Bombyx mori: one gene and its partners. The protein of the gene in region 2 interacts with the protein of the main gene of each other region in a pairwise test. Links are inferred from orthologs where the notes say so. Each region holds a gene or a part of one and is shown on either strand. Other genes may lie near its edges.

Region 1 (4,263 bases), on a different chromosome or scaffold from region 2:
AATAATGTCCACGGGCAGCGCGGTCTCCGTCAATGTTCATTCGGAGTTGTCCGATTGTGCTGAACTAATTTTAAGTGATGAAATAGATGTTTTTTTTCTAATTGTCTTACAACTTCAAAAATCTGTCACAGATAATTTCCCAAGCAAATATAAATTAATCATAAGTAATTAAATGTAATCAAGTTTTAGTTATTTTTTTTTTTTTTTTTTGTCAATGCATTATCGATTGCACCTAAATTCATGCCATCTGCCGTGTACTTTTGTCAGTTTTTCAATGTTTTTATTGATGATCACTTTGTTATTGCAACTAAATAAAATAATTGATTAAAATCAAGGAGTGCAAGCTCTAGCTAATTTCTGGGTAAATAGGGATAGCACCTATTTTTGCTTTCTTAGCTTAAACTCGAATGCTAATTGCATAGCTTTAAATTGGATAACAAAGATACCCCCAAGACTCAATCATTTTGATCCTGATATAGCATTTTAAACATCAACAACTACCTTAAAATTGTTCATCAAGTTGGAATTTGTCCCTAACCACCCCGTTTTACCAGTACATACTGTTCTATGGATTTTTCTATAATTTCTACGGACTTTTTGGCGGGAATGCGAGGAGTGAAGTTGTGTGATTTGTTTTATTTTGTCTATTTAGTGTTTCTTCGGGTTTAAATGTGTAATAATGGTGGTTTATTAACCGTTTAATATCTGTGAAAGTGCACAAATGTGGGAAAATGAAACAAAGCCGCTGGACGTAACTTCTCGGGATCCTCCAAAAAGTCCATTGAAAAAATCTTAGTAAATGACCACCATTTTACTGAGATTAGATTTCATCTCATATCATCTCATTTAATTTCATCCCAGTTGATTAATGTCTCAAATTAATCATTTTCATTTCATTTCACTCCATAATATCATTTTTCATAAAATTAAGAATATACATTAAAATAAGATATGACTTAAAGGTCTCAGTTACCAGGTCATAAAATCTCTAAAAATATAATTTCTACAGGACTTTTTGGCGGGAACGCGAGGAGTGAAGTTGTGTGATTTATTTTATTTTGTCTATTTAATGTTTTTTCGGGTTTAAATGTGTAATAATGGTGGTTTATTAACTGTTTAATATCTTTCATTTTCCCTCATAATATAAATGAGGGAAAATAAAAGAAAGCCGCTGGACGTAACTTCTCAGGATCCTCCAAAAAGTCCACGGAAAAAGTCTTAGTAAATGACCACCATTTTACTGAGATTATATTTCATCCCATATCATCTCATTTCATTTCATTTAATTTCATCCCAGTTGATTGATGTCAATGTCAAATTAATCATCTTCATTTCATTTCACTTCATAATATCATTTTTCATAAAAATATGAATATAAATTAAAATAAGACATGCCTTAAAGGTCTCAGTTACCAGGTCATAAAATCCCTTAAAAACTAAATAATTTCTACACAATCTGTAATTGACAACTGATCTGTATTAACATAGATAATATCTATGCATAGATTATACACTTAATATTATCTATGAACTGATCGTGGTCGGCAAATGACGCTATCGGATTTCGAAGACGACATTGTTTTACTAAGGTTTTACATTCATGAAACGTAAATAAAAACATAGTAGGTTGAAAATGTAAGTGTTTCCTCAACTTATTCTATAAAAATTCTACTATTGTACATTTAGAGAGGCCCGTTAACATGTTTCATTTCAATACCAGGGCTAGAAATAAATCGCCTTTGCCTGCAGCTGAGAAAGAGAAGAAGAAACCCAAAGAAAGCAAGAAAAAGAAAGGTGACTCAGGCTCCAGCAGCAGTGATAGTAGTGGAAGGTATCCCAACTAATGTATTATTAAGATTTGTAACACAATTCTTTGGAGGTTATGTTAAAAGCGGGCTTTCTTTCTTCAACGGAAGTTATAATAAGAAATAGTCAACTTACTATACACTACTAGAAAAACCAAATAGATACAAAAAACCCACGCAAATTGTTAATATCTTGCTGAAGTGATTATTGGTACAAACTAAATAATGAAAGTACATAAGCCTTATCCTGGGAGTTACTTTCTCAACCAATATAATTTAAATCTATTTTCAGTTCATCAAGTAGTTCTTCAAGGTCATCCTCTCGGTCATCATCCAGTAGCTCAGGAAGTTCATCACGTTCATCTTCATCATCCAGCTCATCTAGCAGTAGCAGCAGTAACAATGGCCGTTCAAGGCCTAAGAAAAAGTAAGCTTAAAATTATAAGATAAGGATTAATATAATTATTATTAAACAATCTGCAATTTCTTAAGCCAAAGCGAAGTTTTTATTCAGTACTAGCTGAACCGGCAGACATCGTAAACCAAAATTAGCCAAATCAGTCCAACTGTTCTCGAGTTTTAGCGAGACTAACGAACACCAATTCATTATAGATGTTCATATTTTGTTAAATTTTGATAATATTATGGGGGGCACTCCATACAATCCTGCAATAAGGTTGAAGGTCAGATAGATCTTTAATAAGTTACAGTATATGCTGAGTAGACCATCAAAATGTAGAGCAAATCAGGTTTTTAGAAAAAGCCATCTGCTTTATATGTTAGCTAAATATGTTATGATACATTCTGTACTGAAGGAATAGGGCGTAGTTATAGTTCTTCAATCTCATGTTTCGAGGTGAATGACTGCATCAATATTGTGATATGTAAGGGCTCCATTAACACTAGATGGCCACAATCCTATCCACATCTAATGGAAAAATATTGCACTGGTAGGTTGTTATTGAAACAATCAATAACAATATTGAACAGTAGGTATTTAAACAGTACTTAATTTAACTAAAACAATATTTAATTTTCTATAATTTAGTAGAAATCTGAAAGTGATTACTCCTAAGCCCATAATAGGTCTTCTTTTTTCTACAATATGATATCTGATTCAGGAAATATAATATTCATGTAATAACCTGATATATGAGTCGTCTATTATCAAAGGCGGCAATCTGTGCATTTGGACAAAAAAAAATTATTGATATGTCAATACAGATTGATTTGAATATAATCGTCTTCTTCAAAGAATACGGTTCAAAACCTGCATTAAATAAAGGTTAATACTTAACCTGTTATTTATCTAAGATGTCGATCGGAAGAGTTTTGTGACTGCCAATGGAATACAAAGTCAATAATTTGTTTTCTGATTTACCAATAATTATCCAAAAGTCACATTGCCGGCTTTGATAATAGTTGACTCATATATAGTTTTCTTTATAATGCAGGGACGGAAAGCCACAAGTAAATTATTAATTTATTTCATGATCATTACAGTACTAATTAAAAGAGAAAAAAATACAATCAGAATTGAAACACTATTTGATAAAATAATAATTTGAAGTCAATGAAATTGATCAAAGCTTTTAAAATGTTTTTTTTTTATGTTTGGGCATCATGCATGTTAAGATTGCTAACCTGACCATACATTTTCTTTATTTTTAGAACAATTTCACCAAACAAGAGTCCACTTAAAGATCGTCGTGATGCTGATCGGGAGAAGATTAGAGATAGATCACCAACAGGAGAAAAAAAAAAATCTGTGTTACCTTTATCAAATGACAAAGCTAAAATTAAGGAAAAACAGGAACGGTACAAAACAGTTATTATTTTAAATTATAGCCTTAATACGCCATATTATGGCCCCTGGTAAAATAATAATAAGAATTTCTTTTTTTCTCTTCAGATCTCCAGGACGTAAGAAGCGAGAACGCTCACCACCACCACGACCAACTCGTATCCACATTGGACGACTGACTTTAAATGTAACGCGTGATCACATCCATGAAATATTTTCGACATATGGTACTGTGAAATCAATTGAGTTTCCTATGGACCGACTTCACCCACATAATGGAAGAGGATACGCATATGTTGAGTTTAATAATGCTGATGAAGCAGAAAATGCTATGAAGCACATGGACGGGGGTAACCAACTTAACACTTATCTTTTAACTTTAACCCTTAATATTTTTCTCCCTGTAGGGAAGTTTAATATTAAGTATGTGTTGGGGATGCACTGGAACAAATTCTCTATTTTATGTCTGCAAATTCAAATCTTTACCATGGAGCTTTTGTTGATTTTAATTCTTTATTGGTCACCAAAAAAATTCAGTCTGACTTGCACAAACCGGTAAAGATGTGACGAAAATTAGCATGGCATGGTCGCAAACGGACTACATGGCGGCAGGAGATAACAAATGTCTCCCAGATTCTAGACCTTGGCCCAAGA
Region 2 (4,135 bases):
TCGATATATATAAAAATGAATTGCTGTTTGTTAGTCTCGCTAAAACTCGAGAACGGTTGGACCGATTTGGCTAATTTTGGTCTTGAATTATTTGTGGAAGTCCAGACGTTTAAAAGGTAAAATAAAATTTTGTTTTTCCTTTGATGTGTCCCCCGTTGGACGGATTCCTTTTGTTTGTTTTAAGTTTATTTTATACAATAGTTAGGTCTTTTATTTATCGATTGAGGCACTACGAAGTCTGCCGGGTCAGCTAGTTTAATCAATATATTTGGCCAATTAAATGATATAGTAGTCAGTTAATGTAGTAATGGTATGTAGTGGTACCTGTCACCGCCGCCGCCACCACCGCCACCGCCGCCACCGCCATAGTCTTCCTTCACACGTATATATGTCACCTCACCCTGGAAATGAATATTTAATAGACGTCTAAATCTTGCACTACATGACACTGCTTGCTTTTTAAATTTCTTGAGTTGATTGTAAAACGCTTTTACAGTGTAATATAGCTTTCTTTTCATTCATTTTATAATCTTCATCATCTATGACCATAAGGTCTGTAATATCAAGATTAAGAAAGTATGGTTCAAATTTGATCCATGGTTCAAATTTCTTTTGTAATATCAATATGAAAGCAAACTCAGTTTACTTAAGCTGAGATGATGTTTTGTTGCCTCACATCTCATTTTACATTCCATTTGTTCTTTTCAATCTCATATCAGTTTTTCTCAAACTGAAATTACTTTACCATAATTGACAAGTGAATTGTTTTTTAAAAAAAATATTTAACTGTATGTTGAAAGGACAATCTCATTTTTTATAATTCAGTAAACAAATTGGTAACAAGTATGGGCAGAAAAAAACATTGAAAAAAAAAAAAAAAAAAACTGGTATTGCAAATAATCAGAAAAAGGAGACAGCTTAGTCCAACCTAGCTAAAGAATTCAAAAGTTTGTTTTGCTTACTTTATTTACTTGAGTTTTACAGAATGCAATTTTGGACATTATAGATATCTACTGAGTTTGACACAAAATAACAGTTGTTGATTTTGAGCAGCTATTTGTAAATGAACAGTTTAAGCACTATCCCATGGTTTAATTTCTCCTTCATGAGCCTTAAACTTCTAACTAATTCAAATTAAACTATAAAAGTATTTGACACAATTGATTATCTTGAAACTTTTATGTCCACGTTGGGTAACAATGATAAAAAATTTGGGACAATCCACCAACAGTACTGTTCTTTCACATTACAGGTTATGTTTATAATTATTTTCAAATAAAGTGGAAGAAACTAACCTCATGACTCCTAAATCTAGAATCATCTAACTTTTTAACAGCATACTTCATATCTTCATGCCTCAAAAATTCCACAACACCAGATCCATCTTTAAAGGTGTCTGCAAAGCATACGTCGCCGGCCTCTCGCATATGGTCTTTGAGGTCCTGCCAGGAACCCGAGGGCGGTAAGCCGGTAACGAGCACGCGGTATTCAGAGCGTCGAGCGGGCGGACCACGTGCTGCCCCTCGTCCACCCCAACGGTCACCACCGCCTCGAGAACCACGAGAGCCTCCACCTCCACCTCCACGAGGGAACTCGACTCGAAGACGGTACCCATCATAGTCGTAACCATCCCTGGCTCTTACTGCATCATCTGCATCTCTGAATTCCAAAATAGATTTTATTAAAATAACTTGTCTCAGATTAATTTAGGTAGATATGACTGTATATTCTACTAGGAGTGAAACAAGGCAGGCTCTGAGCTGTGCACCTGGTATTCTTGACGTTCATTAGTGACAGTAACAACTCACCATGAAGTGGACATATCTAATAAAAGAACCAATCACACACAGTTTTGACATCACTCATTGTGTAATTTTAATTTAATATGTTGTGTGTTTATATGTGTGTTATAATTTTATATAATTGGCAATAATCAGCAAATTTTATTGATTTTAATTTTTCTGAAATAATTAGAAATCATAGGTGAATATTATTAGATTTATGGATACAGGTGCTCTGGCAGACTATTAAATCTGTGCCACCCTTCATATATTTTAATATGTGCCAACTTTTAAACTAATTAGTTGTCAATTAATCATAAAATAATAAATGATTAATTGTTAATTTAAAGTCCCATTTTCATTTATCAGTAAAAATGTTTACTTAATCTGTATCTGTATCTGTGGTGTGGAAAATTATATTAACGCTGAATAAAATTGTTCATTTCGCTATAGTCGGGTACAGATAGCGGTGTATGCGGCATAACGTATGCGCTCTTTTAAATCTTCTTCAAAGGCAGCTGAACATTCCGTCCACCTGACACGGGATGATTATCGCTACTCAGACATGGACAACGTTAGTAATATAGATAGCCCGTTTCTCTTTTCGAATTCAACACTCACCTGGGATCCTCAAATTCCACGAACGCGAATGGCGGACCTTTTCTGTTCTTTAGGTCAACGAACGTTACTTTTCCGAACTTGTAAAACAAGTCTTGAATATCCTTTGTCCTTATGTCCGGTGGTAAGTTTCCAACATATATACGACACTCATTTCTGTTGCTACTGCTTCCACCCGACATTATAGCTAAAGAATATTACTATTGCTTAAACGTTTACTTATTATTATGTTGGCTTCATCGACTAATTTCACCAATCCGACGCTTTACTGTGTGTAATTGAAAGTCGGGCAATATGGCGTCAAATGTCAATGTTCCGATTTTGGATCACGGTGGATTTGACAGAAAAGAAAACGATAATCATGAAAACGGAAGTGGAAAAACCTGGTCATAGATTATAAATATGTGGCTGTATAATTTTTACAAAAGTCCGTGTGAAAGGATTTATACAAAGATGTGTATGTAGTCGTCCGGCACATTTTAAAACTAAACACCATAAAATTGAATAATTAATCTGAAATGTAGTTTGCTTTTGGTGATATCAGGATCAGGACACTTATCATTCTTTCCTGCTTGTCCGGAAGTTTCTGTGTCGAAATCAGTACCTATAGCGTGTTTTATAGGTCTTTCTAATTTCGAGCCCGCTGCCCTTCACTTTTGTTAAATGGAAATTAATATATAGGCTGATCAATATTGGCAGTTTCGAGTTATGTTAGTAACATTAAAGTATGGGTTTTCCCATATAAAATCAGGTAGGAACTTACTAGAGAACTTGTACTTGAACTTGTGCTTAAGGTGTCATCTTCTTGAATGGATTAAATAAAATAAAATAAAATAAATAATACAATAAGGCTATGCGTCATGATAATCGCCTTATTGGTGCCACCGTTGATTACTCCTCGAATTCTAATCATGCAGGAGCCAGTCACCGTTGATGCCCTAGACACGTCCTTACGGATCCATCAGATCCAATAACCTTTGCATTAGAAGCCTTCAGCTCTAACACTAGTAGCAGGCTCAGGGACCCCGGTAACCGTACTCATAGAACTCGACAAAGAGTTCGACGTGCAACCTAATCTATGTATCAGCCCGCTGAGTTTCTCGTCGGATCAGCTGTCAAAGCAGCTACTCTTGAGTTGATAAGTCTCCTTCGGAGGCGCTCGGGCAGCTGTTAAGTAATCCCACCCCTCCTGGCTGCGCTTTTGCTCACCTAACTGTCCTGGTGAAATTAGTGTAGGGGAAGCTTAACGACCGAGGGAAGATCTTCCATCGAGCTGGTGATATTGCTCGGTAGACCGACGGTCCGAATGCTGTTGTTCGGAACTTGTATATATGCGCTTTAACTTGAAAATGTCGTAAGCGAGATTCAGACATCTGTCAATTATCTTGCGTTGTATGATGGCTACCCGCCACATCACTCCCCTCCGAGACTGGAGGTCGTGTCATTTTTAGTTAGCGTTGTCCATGCTGAGATTAGCTTGCAAGGGCCAGTGCTGCTCGAAGCCTGCGGTGAGTCGAGGCTGAGCTTGAATTGCTGCGTGATTGTCGCTAGTGCTGCTCGTAGTCTGCGGTGAGTCGAGACTGAGCTTGAATGCTGCGTGATGAGGCAGTGTAGGTGCGTGCCGTAGGAGCAGGAAGCGCGGTGAGTCAGCTGCGATGGTCCTATCGAGGCTGCGATGCTGGCTTGCTGTGGGACTACTGTCGATGACTTGCTTTTATCTGCGAGAATTGTGGTAG
Region 3 (4,186 bases), on a different chromosome or scaffold from region 2:
ATATAATGCTGTGAGTGACCTATTCCTAGGTAAATATTTTTAAATGTTACTATTTTGTATCAATTATTTTAATACTCTGATAAATATGTGAGTCAGGGGAATATGGAAATAAGAAGGCTCATTGTCTGTTGGGACATTTCCCAAGAAATTTTATGGAATTATCCTGCCAATTTTTTGCTATGTAAAATTATGTCTTTTAAAAAGATTAGTCAACTATAAGTATATTTTATTAAGGGATATTTTACTGATTTTGTTATAAACAGTATAGGAATATAATATATGTTATCACAAATTTAACTTATGATAAAAAACATCTTTACTCATTTCATCTACTTAAACAAGCACAATTCAGCAACAGTACTGCCACAGTTTGATTTTATATAGCTGTCAAGTTTCCATGGCTTAACGCTAATGGTAAACTGTGTTATAGGATATTCAAAATATCTTGGGGTGTGACCCCAAAGATACTGTCTACAACATTAGCGTTACCTTATGTAGATTTCGTGATCATGAAACCTGTTCACCAGTGGGTTTCCTTTGAGGTATAGCTCAACTAGCGGTAATGATCTGATTGGGTCCAGTGATCCAAGGAATGGAATCTGGAAAAGGTTTAAATGATAATTAATGTACATTATTGGTTTTTTAATAGCATTCATATATTTTTAAAGATGTCTTTCGTTTACTACATTTATTTTATATTTTACTAATGTAATGCAAATGATGAGTTAGTAGAAAAATACTTACACTACACAAAATTGAGAAAAATGTCTACCTTAACAATCAGATATAGTGCATGTGAAAACAAATTAATTGCAAAGATTGTTAGTTGGGGTATATAATAAAGAAAAAAAAAACCACAAATTTATTTGTCAAATGTAGATAGGGATTTTGTATCCTACCTAATTACTGTTAGCTTGTGGGGCTATTCAAACTATGCCTAGATAGGAATGTGCACTGAAGATGATGATATGAATATGAATCAGTCATTTGAAATTTTACACTGGTCTAAATTGTCGTAAATGTATTTGTCTTACCCTATTATCGCCCATATACAATATTTTCAAATTCTTGAGCTTTGAAGACAAAACCTTGAGATGCTGCAAACCATGAAGCTTATTATCATTTAGGTTCAAAGCTTCTATGTCTGGAATATTCTCTGCTATTATATCTATAGCAGCCAACATTATCATTGGACGGAACAGTGCACAAAATATATCTTCTAGATCTGAAAAATAGTATTATTTCAATATTCACCCAGTAAAACTATTGTCTTTACATTCTATAAAATAACTGGTTATAAATATTGTTGTTACATTGCTGCATTATAAAAGGGCAAACCAGTATGCGCTCTTAAATAGATTATAGCTTATGTGGGCCCATAAGAAATTATTCCCAAAAGTCTAGCTTATTATATCTCTAATTGAATGAAAAAGAAATTATAATATGTATTACTAAGCTGTTTACTAACAAGTTGAATTTTAGACATTGCAATGAATGTATTGTAAATAATGAATATGTAAAGCAATAACAATATAATTGGACAATCACCTGGATCAGCATGGAATTTTGTTAAATCTAATGCCTTAGTTGTAGCATTATACCTCTTCGCCATTGTCAATTTCATCTTCTCTTTCATGGCAGCGTCAATGGCCATGTTTGGAACAGCATTCCTCACAATAACAATTAACTTAAAACCATCTGACATAGTGATCTTTCTATCAGCATTATAAAGTTTTTCAGCTGTTTTGACATCATCAACATAGAATACTGCAGCATTTCCATTGACTTTATAGTAATGTGGAATGAATATGTCGGGTGAAAGAAAACCCAACAAGGCTCGGAGGATAACATCTTTTTCATGTTTTGCTCCATATGGAATGATTATTTGGTACCAAGGCAGTACACCAGGAATAAATTTCTTTTTAGTGTGTCCGTGGCTTCCTTGCGGAGCTGGAGAGTACATTCTCCCACGTCCCCTGAAAGAACTTTTCCGGACCGGTCCTTGAAGAGCAGAACTACCCATGTCAATATCATCATCAAGGAGGGCTAAAGGATTTTTCCAAGTTCGAAATTTATTTTTTCCTTTAGCTCCAGGTTTAAAACTGACATGTCTCGGCACACTATTGACACGGTCATCGTGTTCTGAAAGTATATCATTTGTAAATCAAGTATTAATAGTCAATAACTTTAAAAACTCATATATTATTCATTGGTATCATGAACTTTATGATGCATGATTTTGCCTTTATGTATTAAACATAAGTAGCGCTAACAACAATGGAATACATTATTTTTTGATAATTCACTGTAGGAACTACAAAATCACAACAGAATATAAATAAAAGTGTTCCACTTACCAAAATGGTCAGTATCAGCCTTCCAATTTCTATTCCTTCCACCGCCACGTTTTGGCATCGTGTCGAAGAAGCTTTAATCACCAGTATACAAATACCGTGAAAGTAGTTCTTTAAGGTTTCCTTATTTTCTCACATGCGTGTAGAATAGTTAACTGAGATAAAGCCAATGATAATTGAATAATAGCTTTTTTTAATTAACAACGCAAATTACAAAAGAGTTAAACAACTTTGATGGTGTAAAATTACCCTACACTCAATAAATTTTAAGTATGGTTAGTTAAATTATATATTTGGACGTTATTAGCAATCCAAATATTTCCAAAATTAATCACCAAAAACTAAATAGCGTCTCTCTTGTGAATCTTAAACCTGTTCTTTTTCAATGTGAAACAAAATGGATGGCGACATTTGTAGATTATACACCTGTATAACCTATGGATTACACTTCGTCTTTATTTTTGGCTCCGTACGGTTTGTGCATTAGCCAGCGTCAAGTAAAAGATTTTTATGTTTCGCTGTTTTAATTATTGAAAATAGTTTATGAATAATAAAAAAAACGAAGGAAGGGTCTCAAAGGAAATGTCATATTTAAAAATATAATTTTAAAAAAAGTAAGGAGTTTATTGAAAAAATGTTTATTACATATTAAAATACACTGTTTTGGAATTTATTTTTTAAAAATGACATCGTCGAAATGTAAACCGTTGCGTTCAGGGCATTCGTTTAATCGAGCACTAAAATTGCCTATGACGGCTCGGCAGGTGTTCTCCGTGATGGCTTTCGTGATAGATATTTTCTTTTAATTGTGTGTGAAAGTCGATTTGTTGGTGTAAACTTTGGATTTGATATAACCCCACAGGAAAAAGTCCATAGATGTCAAATCGGGACTGCGTGGAGGCCAACTTATGTCACCTCTCCTGGAGATCAATTTGCCAGGAAAAAATTGACCTCTGACCAGTATCCTGAAGTTTTAATTCTTGCACCAACTGAATTTGTACGGGTGCAGTTTTAAATCTTTATGCAAAATAGGGCATCACGACGATCTGTGCACGTTTAAGGCCACCGCACGCTTCTCAATTGAAAGGTTCAGATCGTCCCGAATAGACTGGGCAACACTGTCTACGTTTTCGAGTGTTCTCGAAAATCTTGGACGACCGGATTTTGGTTTTTCCAGGTTATAGTAATAAGCAGAGAAACGAAAATTATAAAAGAACGAAATACGAACCTAACATTACAAATGGTGAAAAATAAAATTTATCAAAAAAGCAAATAAGCATAAAAAATGTCCCTGACAATGACTCGTCAGGGGAACGCACATAAATAAATAAATAAATAAATACTACCATAAGACGAATTGTTGCTGAAGGCAGATCTAACAGAGATGTATTTAGTACGCAGGGCAAAAAGAGGAAAGGTGGTAAAAATACTGCGCCTTCCTTATCTTCCTCTTCTGATAAAGACTTTTTTATGGATGTGCAGTATTTGGAACCATTTTTAAGTTTTTTTTTTTTTTATTTTTTTTTTATTGCTTAGATGGGTGGACGAGCTCACAGCCCACCTGGTGTTAAGTGGTTACTGGAGCCCATAGACATCTACAACGTAAATGCGCCACCCACCTCGAGATATAAGTTCTAAGGTCTCAGTATAGTTACAACGGCTACCCCACCCTTCGAACCGAAACGCATTACTGCTTCACGGCGGAAAATAGGCGGGGTGGTGGTACCTACCCGCGCGGACTCACAAGAGGTCCTACCACCAGTAATTACGCAAATTATAATTTTGCGGGTTTGATTTTTATTACACGATGTTATTCCTTCACCGTGGAAGTC

What was found.
Region 1: the proteins of serine/arginine-rich splicing factor 1A (region 2) and ribonucleic acid binding protein S1 interact in a two-hybrid assay, tested with the Homo sapiens proteins (2 studies listed by BioGRID and IntAct, with this or other methods). The link is inferred for Bombyx mori from reciprocal best matches to the Homo sapiens genes SRSF1 and RNPS1.
Region 3: the proteins of serine/arginine-rich splicing factor 1A (region 2) and nuclear RNA export factor 1 interact in binary tests that used the Homo sapiens proteins (3 or more experiments, as listed by UniProt). The link is inferred for Bombyx mori from reciprocal best matches to the Homo sapiens genes SRSF1 and NXF1.

Annotation. Positions count from the first base shown.
Region 1 is NC_085114.1:7,346,411-7,350,673, forward strand, and holds the start of ribonucleic acid binding protein S1, read left to right. Parts: upstream 1-1,463; 5' UTR 1,464-1,633; coding exon 1,634-1,635; intron 1,636-1,720; coding exon 1,721-1,831; intron 1,832-2,097; coding exon 2,098-2,232; intron 2,233-3,476; coding exon 3,477-3,623; intron 3,624-3,717; coding exon 3,718-3,959; intron 3,960-4,263. UniProt on the Homo sapiens protein: Part of pre- and post-splicing multiprotein mRNP complexes. Auxiliary component of the splicing-dependent multiprotein exon junction complex (EJC) deposited at splice junction on mRNAs.
Region 2 is NC_085122.1:429,901-434,035, forward strand, and holds the start of serine/arginine-rich splicing factor 1A, read right to left. Parts: upstream 2,801-4,135; 5' UTR 2,582-2,800; coding exon 2,403-2,581; intron 1,660-2,402; coding exon 1,296-1,659; intron 402-1,295; coding exon 325-401; intron 1-324. UniProt on the Homo sapiens protein: Plays a role in preventing exon skipping, ensuring the accuracy of splicing and regulating alternative splicing.
Region 3 is NC_085124.1:4,529,786-4,533,971, reverse strand, and holds the start of nuclear RNA export factor 1, read right to left. Parts: upstream 2,801-4,186; 5' UTR 2,416-2,800; coding exon 2,358-2,415; intron 2,143-2,357; coding exon 1,549-2,142; intron 1,226-1,548; coding exon 1,035-1,225; intron 600-1,034; coding exon 490-599; intron 1-489.